2 linked regions of the Drosophila melanogaster genome follow. The protein of the gene in region 1 interacts with the protein of each later gene in a pairwise test. Each region holds a gene or a part of one and is shown on either strand. Other genes may lie near its edges.

Evidence for each region. Proteins that work in one complex are often made in the same cells at the same time.
Region 2: the proteins of blot (region 1) and CG4887 interact in a two-hybrid assay, tested with the Drosophila melanogaster proteins (one large-scale study listed by BioGRID).

What each region holds. Positions count from the first base shown.
Region 1 is NT_037436.4:17,418,468-17,423,239, forward strand, and holds the start of blot (bloated tubules), read right to left. Parts: upstream 3,048-4,772; 5' UTR 2,887-3,047; intron 1-2,886. Other genes in the region: Sec3 (secretory 3), read right to left, coding at 3,641-3,988, 4,067-4,574, 4,631-4,772.
Region 2 is NT_033779.5:1,171,070-1,178,119, forward strand, and holds CG4887 (uncharacterized protein), read left to right. Parts: upstream 1-1,939; 5' UTR 1,940-2,131; coding exon 2,132-2,250; intron 2,251-2,310; coding exon 2,311-2,760; intron 2,761-2,814; coding exon 2,815-3,061; intron 3,062-3,127; coding exon 3,128-3,197; intron 3,198-3,427; coding exon 3,428-3,501; intron 3,502-3,840; coding exon 3,841-3,918; intron 3,919-3,977; coding exon 3,978-4,104; intron 4,105-4,217; coding exon 4,218-4,454; intron 4,455-4,509; coding exon 4,510-4,974; intron 4,975-5,031; coding exon 5,032-5,812; intron 5,813-5,872; coding exon 5,873-6,122; intron 6,123-6,186; coding exon 6,187-6,303; 3' UTR 6,304-6,520; downstream 6,521-7,050. Other genes in the region: charon, read right to left, coding at 1-574, 645-844, 954-1,550; CG4896 (uncharacterized protein), read left to right, coding at 6,881-6,975, 7,039-7,050.

The sequences.
Region 1 (4,772 bases):
AACTTGTTAACTTTTAAAGGCATTTTGCCCGTTTTAATTTGGTTACAACGCCTGAGATGGGTTCACACAGTTCACATGGCTCATGGATTTGAGAACACGACAGCCATAAATAAAGATTCACCGACCGGGGCGAGAGTCAGGTATTATGTGAGTGGCTATATTCAGATTCAGTTAGCACTTGCCGTAACTCTTCTCGCCTGTGTTTTTATTTATTTGAGAGTGACTTCATTTTCTCAGGGCTGAGACGAGCGATCTGAGCCGGGTGACATGCAACCCCCGTTTCGGCCTTTTTATACACTTTTTATCGTATAACGCTCCATTGTTCGGAACAATGTGAGCCGCACACTCTTTTTTCCACATGCATTATAAAACATGCACATAACTATACTAGCACCTGTATATAGGTGTTTCAAATCCACATAGCACACTTACGGCGCTTATTGTTTAAGCTTTTCCGATTGCCAAACACACCGAAAATATTAAGAAAATAGCTGAGCACGTATGGCGGAGATTAGGTGCCAAGTGCGCCGATGGTCAGTTCTGCTGATGACAGCAGCGCTAGAAAATGTGGAATTAATTAGTCTAGGTCTAGATTCTAGCCAGTCTAGAGTCTAGAGTCTAGCCCTACTCCCATCGCAAAATAACGGTTAGTTGGGCGGGCTAAAATGAAAATGTGCGGCCCACAGCTGGCCAGCCATATTGCAGTTGCCAGGGGGGAAAAAAAAACAAGAAGCGAAAATGAAGAAAGAACGAAAGATAAGTAAAAACTGCCGCTGGCAGCTAACCTCAAGTAAACTTGGGTTCTGGTTCGGGCCAAAACCGGAGGGAGATGGAGTAAAAAACCTGATGACTCAGTCACGAAGCATAAAGTTGATGGCTTCCCCTTCGGGAAATTGGCGGTAAGTCCGGAAAGCGGAGGAGTGGACGAGCTGTGGGTGGGGGCGGGAGGAGAACCTTCCTCTATTGCCGACTCTGCAGCTGAGTATAATATTGAAACAAAAGATAATGGGCAAGTGCAAATATTTAGCGAGCGATGCATTCTGCGGCGGATATTGCACGGCCATATGCCATTTCCTTTGGAAAAATGCTTAGTGTGCCACGCAAACAGGTAAACACTCTATTTAGAATGAAAACAAGAGTGACTCTGACGTACTATCATCGCAGTTATCAAGTGCTAAAATGTAAGCAAACAAACGCGTTTTCGGTTCTAACTGCTTTTGTATCGTAGTATTAGTTTAAAGGCTGTTCCAACTTTTCAGCTGAAAATTAAATCTTTAGTTCTGTAAACATTTAAATGTTCCCTTTTATATAATATTATTGTGTAGAACGAGTAAATGGGTTGTGGAACATTGGTTTTTTACGGTTATCAAGTGAGAAAAATATTTAGCCTGCCTGCAAACAATAAAGTGGAACGACAATTAAAATAAGCAAATAAACATTTCAATGGGGACAATCAGTGAAATTAAATAAGGTTCGCATATATATGTACATATATCAAAAGAGAACTTTGATATCGCCGCATGCTCATGATGACATCTGACACTATATTCATTCATACATAAACTTTGAGTGAATACAGCTGGCGCACTCAGTAATATGCATATTTGCAAAATTTTATTTCAAAGTTGGCATTGAGGTAACCAGATACGAGCTTTCTAAAACTAAGATATGAATGAAAGAATTTCCAAACCTACGCATTTTCTAAAGATAATTATCATGCTAACAAGTTCATGCTGCTAAGCCATGGAGGCCACTCATCCCTGATATCTTCATGACTCAAGATCATCTCGGTGATTACAACATTTACTGATGACATAGATAACTCTGCCACTTAATCACTTCACACAGTTGCACTCTTATCGCACTTTATCCGTTTCTTCCAAAACAAGTACAGTGGTCTGCGAAATCGAAGGGCCAAAGAGTTGAGCTAGCTAATTATAGCGGAAGTCGAAAATGCAGCGCCAATATCATAGCATTGAACTTGCCAGACGATCGCGACCAACTGACTTTCCAGGTGCTTATCAAGGTGGGCCAGGTTTCAGCGAAACTTCGTTAAAATATACGTACGGCAAGAGCAACTGTGATGACCGCCAGTTAAGGCTAAAACAAAAGGCAGTTGTGTTGAAGAGGAATTGCGAGGAAAGAAAAACAGTGGAAATTGGCTTGAAAAACGCAAAGAGCTATGCCGAGTGATCCCAAACTATTGTAGATATAAGCTTGTTATGAAAGAACCTAAAATGAAGTAGAGTTATTGATTTTGAAAACTAAAATGATTATCTAAGAAACCTATATTATTAAATTTCCAAAGCCGTCTGAAGACTCAGTATTCCTGCATCTCATTAAGGTCCTAAAAAGAATAGTCTTTTTGTATGCGTTTCGTATCCGATTAGTTTTCCATGTCGAACATGCATTAAAATGTAAATGTCTTCCGTTAACCGGCATCCACTGTACTACAGGCTGCCGAAAAAGTGGAAGAACATGAGCACGGGAGCGCACGAAAAGCACAAAAAGCGGGCAACGTGTGTGCATGAGAAATGCAAGGCGGAGGGCAAGACAGGCTAAGGTAAGCTAAGGAATGGAACGGCTGGAGGAGATGGGAATGGGAATGTAGACGGGGATGGGGATGGGGGTCACGGGAAGGTAGGGAGAACCGAGTCAGGAGCGACAACCGCACAACAGCACGAAACTGGTCGGACGGGTCGCTATGGTGGCCATGTTTATGGGACAGCCCAGACAGGAGGGAGGATCAGTTCGGATCGGATCGGTTCGGCGGTAGTCTAACTTTTTGTTCTCCCTGTCGGAGCTTCATAAAATATGCACCACATTCAGTCGCAAGTCGTTGCGGCTTCTTCCATTTTCCGTTTGCCATTTGCCATTTGCAATTACCATTTGCATTTCACGGAGTTATCAACACGGCACATGAGCACACACGGAAACACGTACGGCTAGAACAATTTAAAATACACGAAATAAAATGCTTATACTGCAGTTGGGTAAATCACGCGGACAGGCGACAACCGATGCGAAAGAGTCGCGCGGCTTGACTGGGAGCACCAGCCCGAACTCCAACGGCTGGCGAACGAAAAGCCACCCCGGAAAGCTCACTCTTCGAGCACTCTCTCTCTCTCTCTCTCTCTTTAGGCTATGATCTATCTCTTTTGATCTTGAAGAGCTCTCTTTGACCTTAGGAGGCTGTTTGAATGTGCACGGTAGTAAATTAGAGTTATACTATAAAAGTATAAATACAAAAAGTCAAACTTCTATCTGTGATTTTTAAAAGCTGACGTACTAAAGATCAAGTAAGATCTCTAGAAATTCTACATTTTTATATATAAAATTTAGTTTACTCGCATTCTTGGACAAAAGTTGAGTATTGGCTATGTAATTTTAGCTTAGAACTTATACAATAATCAACTTCAATGGCTAGCTGTTGAAAAGTTCCCTTTAAGGCCTAGTCTCGTTGATTTTTCACTACGCGATCCCTCTCTCTTGGACGTTTCGAACATTCGCAGATCCACATCTGTTTAAATATACGCGCCATATATTTTGCAATCAGCAGAAACAGCGCTTTAAATACTATTGCACTTAAAAATAAAACCCGGTTGAACCGCTCCCTGACTTTCAGATTCCAATCCCTAGATCAGTGGGAGCGCGCTATGTCCGAGAAGAAGGCGAGTATGTCCTGAATGTTGAACTCCAGGTTGATCATGGCGCCGGCGTAGCACTTTTGGATGCGCTCCTCCAGGTAATTATACTGGGCAATGAACTCCTCCTGCATGGCATGCCATACCACTTGCAGCAGATTCTCCTCCTCGCTCAGGTGCTTTTCCACCTTCTTATATAGGTTCTCCAGTCCTTTCTTCACCTCTCGTGCAGGATACTGAGCGATCACCTTGCGGAGTTCCTGCTTGGAGAATGCCATCTGGTAGCTGATTTCCGTTTCCTTGACTCCCTGGGCCACCTTAAGTTGCACGCCTTCGAAGAATTGCTGCAAAGGCAGAACGGAAATTTATGAGATGAAGATCGACTTATCTTTTCTTCTGGAAGGTCATTGACTTTGGCTTACATTCAGTTTCTCCAGCGGCCGGCCGAAGTACTGAGTCACATACGCTTTTAGCGCATCGTTATAACACTTCTTGGCCTCCTTTTTCAGGGCGTCCAGACCAGGAACCTTGAGCTGGGCTAACAAAGCGTACATGTGGTGGTAGTTCTCCATGCGCACTACCTGAACTGGTGTCTTGGGGTGCTCCTGCGAATGCAGTTGGATGCCCTCAAATATGGCATTCACCAGCTGCAAGTACCACTTCTCCATGTCCGTTCGGCGATCCGATTTCCGAAATATGCCCTCTGCAGTTTGGGCAAAGTTTTCAAAGTTTTCCACATACGGCAGAATGGCCTTAGAACGTTTGTGCAGCTTTGCCTCCCGGATAGACAGTAGTTGGTTCTGCATAAAGCGGTCGAAGCTCCGCTTCACCTGCACCAAGGCGGAAGCGAAGGTCATGCTAAGAAAGGAATGTGTGTCCTGGGCGGACATGACGTGCTGCGTAAGTCGCACAAAAACGTACAGAGAGTAGCTACGAAAACAAATTTGTTAATTACTCCTTACTCCATTACTATATTGTTTACTTACAAGCTGTCTACACGCTCAAAGCTCTGGATGAAGCTAACTAGCTCTGGTTCTAGGCAACCGAAAAGGCCCATCATCAGTTTACGCACATCTTCGTTAATTTGACGGTCAATCCGCTTCTGCGGAACACCATCACCTGATGGCG
Region 2 (7,050 bases), on another chromosome or scaffold:
GCCCCTCGCCTCGGATGCATTGATGACATCCCGCTTATGTGCACGGTTCTTTAGCAACGTCTTGTTCAGCTCCAGCCGTTCGCAGGCACGATCGTAGTACTTGGCGAAGCCCTTCTCGTCCCACTCATTCGGATTCGCTGCCTCCAGGGTTCTCCTGTACACCGTTTCCCCCAGCTCGCGCTCGTCTATACTATCAAGGATTGCCTCGACAACAAGGAACTGGTTATTGCGCACTGCCAGGTGCAAAACTGTATAACCATCATCGTTGGTTAGCAGAAGACTGTTCAAATCGATTCTGCGCAACAGCAGCCTAATGGACTCTATATTTATATGGTTTATCACCGCCAGATGAAGAGCTGTGTTTGAGTTCTCGTAGAGGTGGTCGGTCATCATGCGAGCGTCCAGGATGAGCGATACAATCTCGGTGTCCGTGTCGTTCGTCAGCGCAAGTTCCAGGCAGTCCTCGCCGTCCCTGGTGAGTAGTTCGTTGATGTCCATTTTCGCGTGGCAGCACACAAATATCTGACGCTTAACGCCGTAAACATCGCCGTGCAGTATTTCCTCGTGAATGGGTCTGAAGTGCCATGTGAAAAGATGATATCATTACGATGATGATGGTCTTATTCGGCTAAATGAATACTTACAGCAATCCTTCTTCGGACATTATGTGCGACTTTCTGAATTCGTTGGCCATGATGCGTATAATGCGGTCCTCGGTGTTTCCGCTTATAAAGTTTTCCACCCGGGTCAACTCATCGGAGTTGAACGATATATCCGACAAGGTAGAGTTTCGGCGTACAGGGGTTTTATTCGTGATCTGATATGATTCGAAGTTTTGCGCTTGCTGTAAGAAAGATATTTATAATAAAATCGTATATATATTTCCATTCGAGATTTATGAACTTAGTACTTTCCAGGAGGAACTACTACATCATAATAATACTTGTACTTACGGTGACATCCCTTTTCTTCCGTTTAGTGATCACGGGCGTCAGTTGCTTCTCCTCGCGCTCCTTAAGCGCCATCTCAGCCGCTGATCGCTTGACCACCTGTGGCACGCAGGTGTTTCGCTTTCTACCGCGCTTTTTAGGAACTTTGGTCGGATCTACTGGCGGTTTTATAGGTTCGGAACTTGAACTGGTCATGTGGCTATGCCTATTCCCTTTGGCTTCGCATGAATTATTTGTAATGCCAGGCATATGCGTTTCCTCGGTGTCCCAATCCGTTTGTGTAGATGAATCGACTTTTTGGACTCCGCACGAACATTGTTTACCGTGATTGGAGATAGCGACCTTATCGTTATTATTGCTCTCGTTTATCGCGTCGATCACCCTTTGGGTAAGGGCTTTGTCTGGGATTTTCATGAGTAATTTGAAGATGTCCTCGTAGACGGGCTGGAAGGACTTGCGCTGGATGTAGGTAGAGGCACTATGTGGCGCTGAGATGGATATCACTCGCAGGGAACCGACTGGTTTGATCACCAAAACATCCGAACTACTAGCGACGACTGGTTGGATGTGCTGGGCTTTGGTCAATAGAACCTTCTTCATCGTGGCCGTTTTACAATGCACTGCTCGATCTCGCAATATCTACCAGCGATAAGGCCGTCAGCTAGTGATTGAATTCGTGGGACTTCCAAGTTTAGGACGATCAAAAAAAAACTAATTGGTTTTTCCCCACGACACGCTGCACGGAATGGCAAGTAGCGGCACTCGGACGCTGCTCAACACTGCTCCTAAGGATGGTTGGTGAGCAGTCAGACAAGAGCACTGTTATTGCTGATAGCTAATGTAATGTTTGTTTTTTAAGAAAAGAGTAGTTTTCGTTAAAAAAAACTTTATAATTATGTTATGGTCTAGAACCTAGAGTTTTTAATGCTTAAAAATATATAGCCATCTTTCGTTGCAAAATACATAAATATAAAAGGGCCATCTCTAGCTTTAGAGAATTATCGGCGTTTCGCTGCGAATGGCACATCGAGTATTCTTGAGAAAAAAGATACGGTGGTCCTCCATAAGGAACCGGGATAAAAATATTAAGGCTAAGTTACCAAACAGATCGTGAAGGATTCCGCATCGAAGCTCTATTGCCACTGGTGCCTGCCCAGCGTCTATGCCAAAGCAAGTCGGCAATGGACTCGAGTAGTCGGCGCAGTTTTTCTGGTGGAAGTGAAAACGAGGGTGGACGGGGCAGCGACTACTATAGATCCAGGCCGGGGTCTCGATACAGTCGATCCAGGTCGCGTTCCCGGTAATTCTACCCTACCAGCGTAATGCGATCGTGTTTATTAGTACTGTGTACCCTTTTCAGTGAGCGCAACCGCAGCCATGGAGGAATCAGGCACCGGAACTCTCGCTCTCGAAGTCGGGATCGGGATCGGTCGCCCGTGTTCAGAAACGATCAGCATCGCGGTGGTCGAGGAGGAGCTGGTAACGGGGACCCCGACCTTTACCACAGCCTGATCAACGACGACTACAGGGATCAGGATGAGCGCAACTACAACTCCAGGAGCAACTTTGAGAATCGTCAGTTCCGGCGACATGATAGCTTCGACCGTCGGCATCGGGACCGAGATGGCGAGAGCGATCGGGAGCTAAACGACTACGAGTACGAACAGCGCTCCCGCGACTTGGACTCACGTGATCGTAGCTCCACGGACAGGGACTGGTATCACAACAGAAGTCGGAGCAGGGAACACAGCAGACCCTGGAACAGAAACAACAATCACGACGACAGAAGCAGAAGCAACGAGCGAAACACGTGAGTATAAAGTATACATACACTTCAGGCTAAATAATAAATCGGACCGTGCAGGCGCCACCGAGATCACCGCATGTACAACGGCGGTGGCAGCAACCATAATCGCGATCGAGATCGAGATCGGGATAGGGAGCAAGACCGTGAACGTGATCGAGATCGAGATCGGGATCGTGAGAGAAGGGGCTCCTCAGATTACGACAGCGATGAAGGCCACATGCGCAGGAACAAATACCGATCCACCACTGAAGCCCTCAATATTATTATAATCTTCGGTCTTACCAAGGAAATGACCAGAGCAGATGTAAGCCAAGCAGAAGAGTGGCAAATGCAACTCCTTTAATTACTCATGAACTAACTTTTTTTTTAGATTATGAGCGAGCTGATAAAGGTGAACATGGAGCCAGCGTGCATTCGCATTATCCGGAAGCAGGGAACAGGTGGGTTACGAAATCACTGACTTTGTTCTTTCAGCGTCAGACGTAAGTAGGTCCAAAAAGTTGGAGCGGCTTCGCGCTAATGGAGGCGAAGTGTACAAGTACCAATCGAATTTAACCGGCCACATGAATCGAAAAGAATACAATAGTCCACAAAAATGTTACAAACCTATCGAAACATTCAACATTTTTTGACGAAAACATTTTGTATCTGCTTCTATCCGAAAATTTAGATTCATCACGCGGTATAGCGTTTGTCGAGTTTAACACCGTTGAGGAGGCAAAGCAATGGATGGATATTACACAGGTATCAGCGCAATCGACCAGATCCCCTTGAAACTTTGATCATCATCAGCAGCCAAGGTTGTTCGCAGGCAATGATAATAAGGAATTCCTCACTGTTTAGCTTGCTTTGTCCAACTAAAAGTACTTATATGTAGTTGCAAGGAAACTAAGCACGAGTATAGTATTGCTTCATTAGAATTGCCCAAGAAAGCCACTCGAGGAGATTGCCAGCGGCTAAAACTTCGCGTTACGAAACACAGATGCAATCCGGTGACTGTGTAGAGTGTGAATGAAGGCATCCTAGCGATCGGTTACTAATCCGCAACCTTTCCTTCTCCTATTTCCATGTCTGGCGCACCAGGGCGTTCTGAAGTTAAACGACGAGCGGGTGAGCATGCGGTACAGCCACAAGCGAATTCAGGACTGGAACTGCAACAAGGTAGGTGCACTGAGATGATCATATTCTTAATGGCGAGTAATGTGTTTCGCTTGTTCCAGTGTGGCGTCTGCAACTTCAAGTTTAGATTCTATTGCTTTGTGTGCAAAACATCCCGGGAAGACAGCGAAACCACCTTCTCCTCCGGTAGCGAGGGCGTGGACGAAGTCAGCACCATCCTCACCAAAAGTATACAAACCACATAGACTCTCTTGCCATCTCGTTTTGTAGCTTCGATCGCAATGAAGTCCAACAGACCACTGACCGCCACGATTTCTCTACCACTTCCCCAATCCACGCAGAGATCATGCTACGCAACCTGGACGCCCTGACCAACGAAGAGGCTGTGCTCACTGCCCTCCAACTTCACCTAAAGGATCTGAGCAAGACCGTGAGCAAGGTGCTAATTAGTCGGGATTCCTTGACGCAGGCATCGCGTGGAATTTGTTACCTTCACTTCGACACTCTTGTCGACTCGATGAATGTGCACAATGCCTTGACAGCGCTGGATCCTCCACTTACCTTGGACGACAGAGTTGGTATGTGGCCTTAGGTGCTTTTTATAACTTAAATAATAACCAATATTTCATCCAGTGGCCATTACCTATTGCATCGACTTGGAGGAGCAGCAAGCATTGCCCAAGAACCCTAAAGAATTGGCAGTTAAAGATTCAACTGTCAATAGCGGGAACATTTCAGCAGTTTCGCCCTCAGGATTGGGTGGAAACTATACTCTGGCCGATGTGCCACGACTCGCTGAATATAGTGCCTCCCTGTACGCTTCGAATCCCGCAGAGCACGCTTATTATGTCCAGTACTATACGGAGTACTACACGGCAGATATAAACAAAAATAACAGGGATTCCCATTTGACGGAAGCCAATTCCGGAGCAGCGGTTGCCCTCTCGGCCATCCAGCGCAAGCAGAAGAAGATGAGCAGTATCGAGACCACGATCACAGCGGCGGCCACAGCTGCCGCACAGGCAGCGGCGCAAGTGAAGGCCACATTGGCTGCTCAGGTGGCCAGTGCGCCCAAGGGCAACGATGGAAAGATATACCGTATGTCGCCACTCACTTGAGTATGCTAGCATTTTATTATGTTTCATTATGTTGCAGCCACTCCCGATGTGACGCAGTACCAGTATGATGAGACATCCGGCTACTATTACGACAGTACCACGGGTCTCTACTACAATGCCCACTCGCAGTACTACTATAACAACGAGACGGGCGCGTATCTTTACTGGGATCAGCGCAGGAGCACCTATGTGCTGGCCACGCCCGCCTCCACTCAGGCAGCTCTGCAGGAAGTCCTGGCCGACGCCGAGCAAAAGGGGGAGGAGGAGTCCAAAAAGGCGAAGGAGAAGGAGGGTGGAAACAAGCACGACAAGGTTAAGGTGGCGAAGAAGATCGTCAAGGACATGGAGAAGTGGGCCAAGCAGCTAAACCAGAAAAAGGACTACACAGCTGTGGCCACGCCACAACCAATATTGGCGAACGAGGTAGCCACCACTTCGCGTGGCAATCAAGGGGGATATGCTGATGTGGGATTCTCCATTCTCGAGAAGAAGGAGAGGGGCAAGTTAAACGACTATGCGCCAAACCCGACTGTGGGTCCAATGAACAAGCTTGTCAATGCCTATGGCGGAACATCGGACTCTGAAGAGGACAATGCTGCGAGTTCGCAAAACACACAGAGTTCAGCGGTTGTAAGCGGCGGAGGAGGTGCTGAAGAGTCCGATTACGTGGACTTCCATAAACTGACATGCCTGCTCTGCAAGCGTGCCTTCCAATCGTTGGAAATACTCCAGAAGCACTTGAAGATGTCCACTCTGCACAAGGAGAACCTGGCCAAGCTCAATCAAAACACTAGCAGTAGCATCGAAGAGGCACTAGCGTAAGTGAAATCGCGATGTGTGGTGGAGTATATTATCATTGAATTCATATTCTTTCCCAGCTATCGTGATCGTGCCAAGGAGCGCAGGCTGAAGTACGGCGAGAGCGATCCTCCCCCACCAAATAGGAGCAGGGAGCGATTCGAGCAGGAGATCAAGACACTGCAGTCGCGGCAAAAGCAGTCTACTAGCGCTACTCCAGCCATGCCCATCAGTTCGAGCAACGTGGGCAGTCGACTGCTCCAAAAGATGGGTTGGTCGGAGGGACAGGGACTGGGCAGGAAGAACCAGGGACGCACCCAGATCATAGAGGTAACTGAGCTGACGGCAAGCTATAAAATGAATTAAGAAAATTAAGCATTTTGGGTTCCCTCAGGCGGACGGACGCTCCAATTACGTGGGCTTGGGCAACAAATCGGGACAGATGATACCGGGCAACGACTACAAATCCTATATAAAGAAGATGATGAAGCAGCGCTACGAGAATGCTTGAGAAATTGGTTTTTAGCCGTTTCACATGTTTCATTTCAACTAAAGTCGCCGTTTAATTCAGCTTTTCAACCGAAGCAAAAATTATTTCCATATTATATATGAAGCTTCTTGAGCATTGTTTTCCTAACAGATTGGCGTTTTTTTAAGTCCACGAGCAAGTGTGACCGTTTAGTTAATAGTTTCTGATTAAGCGAATTTAAATCCTTTTTCGAATGTACAAAATAAAATGTAACGGTGTAAAGTTTAAATTTGCTTGGTGTTGGGAAACAACTGTTAGCTGGCACTTGGTAGCCCTGGAGCTATCGGTCAGTTATCGATAACTGGCAGTCAGATACTTCGGGTGAACGGCAAAAAAGAAGACCGAGAATTTTTCTATTCGGGTTTTTTTTTTTGGCCGGATAACTGATTGTTTCTGCCTGAATGCAAAGAGACTTCCAGTTCGGGAACAAGTTTAACCAGCTTCCAATCCTGTTACAGTCGTGGTAACCAAGTAAGATGTGCGCACATAGACGGTTCATCTAATGGCAAAAGGCCAAATCACAAACACTGCATTTAATTACAATCGATTCGCATTAGATATGGATTCTCGATATGGTCACAGCTTCTCGGGCGGCAACGGAAACGGCAGCGAATCGGGCTACAGACGCTACAGTCGCTCCCGATCCCGATCCAGGTAGGTAGTCCTTTGTCCACCTGGAGCCTCTTAGTGGATTACTACCAATTGCGATTATTTCAGGGAACGAAGTCG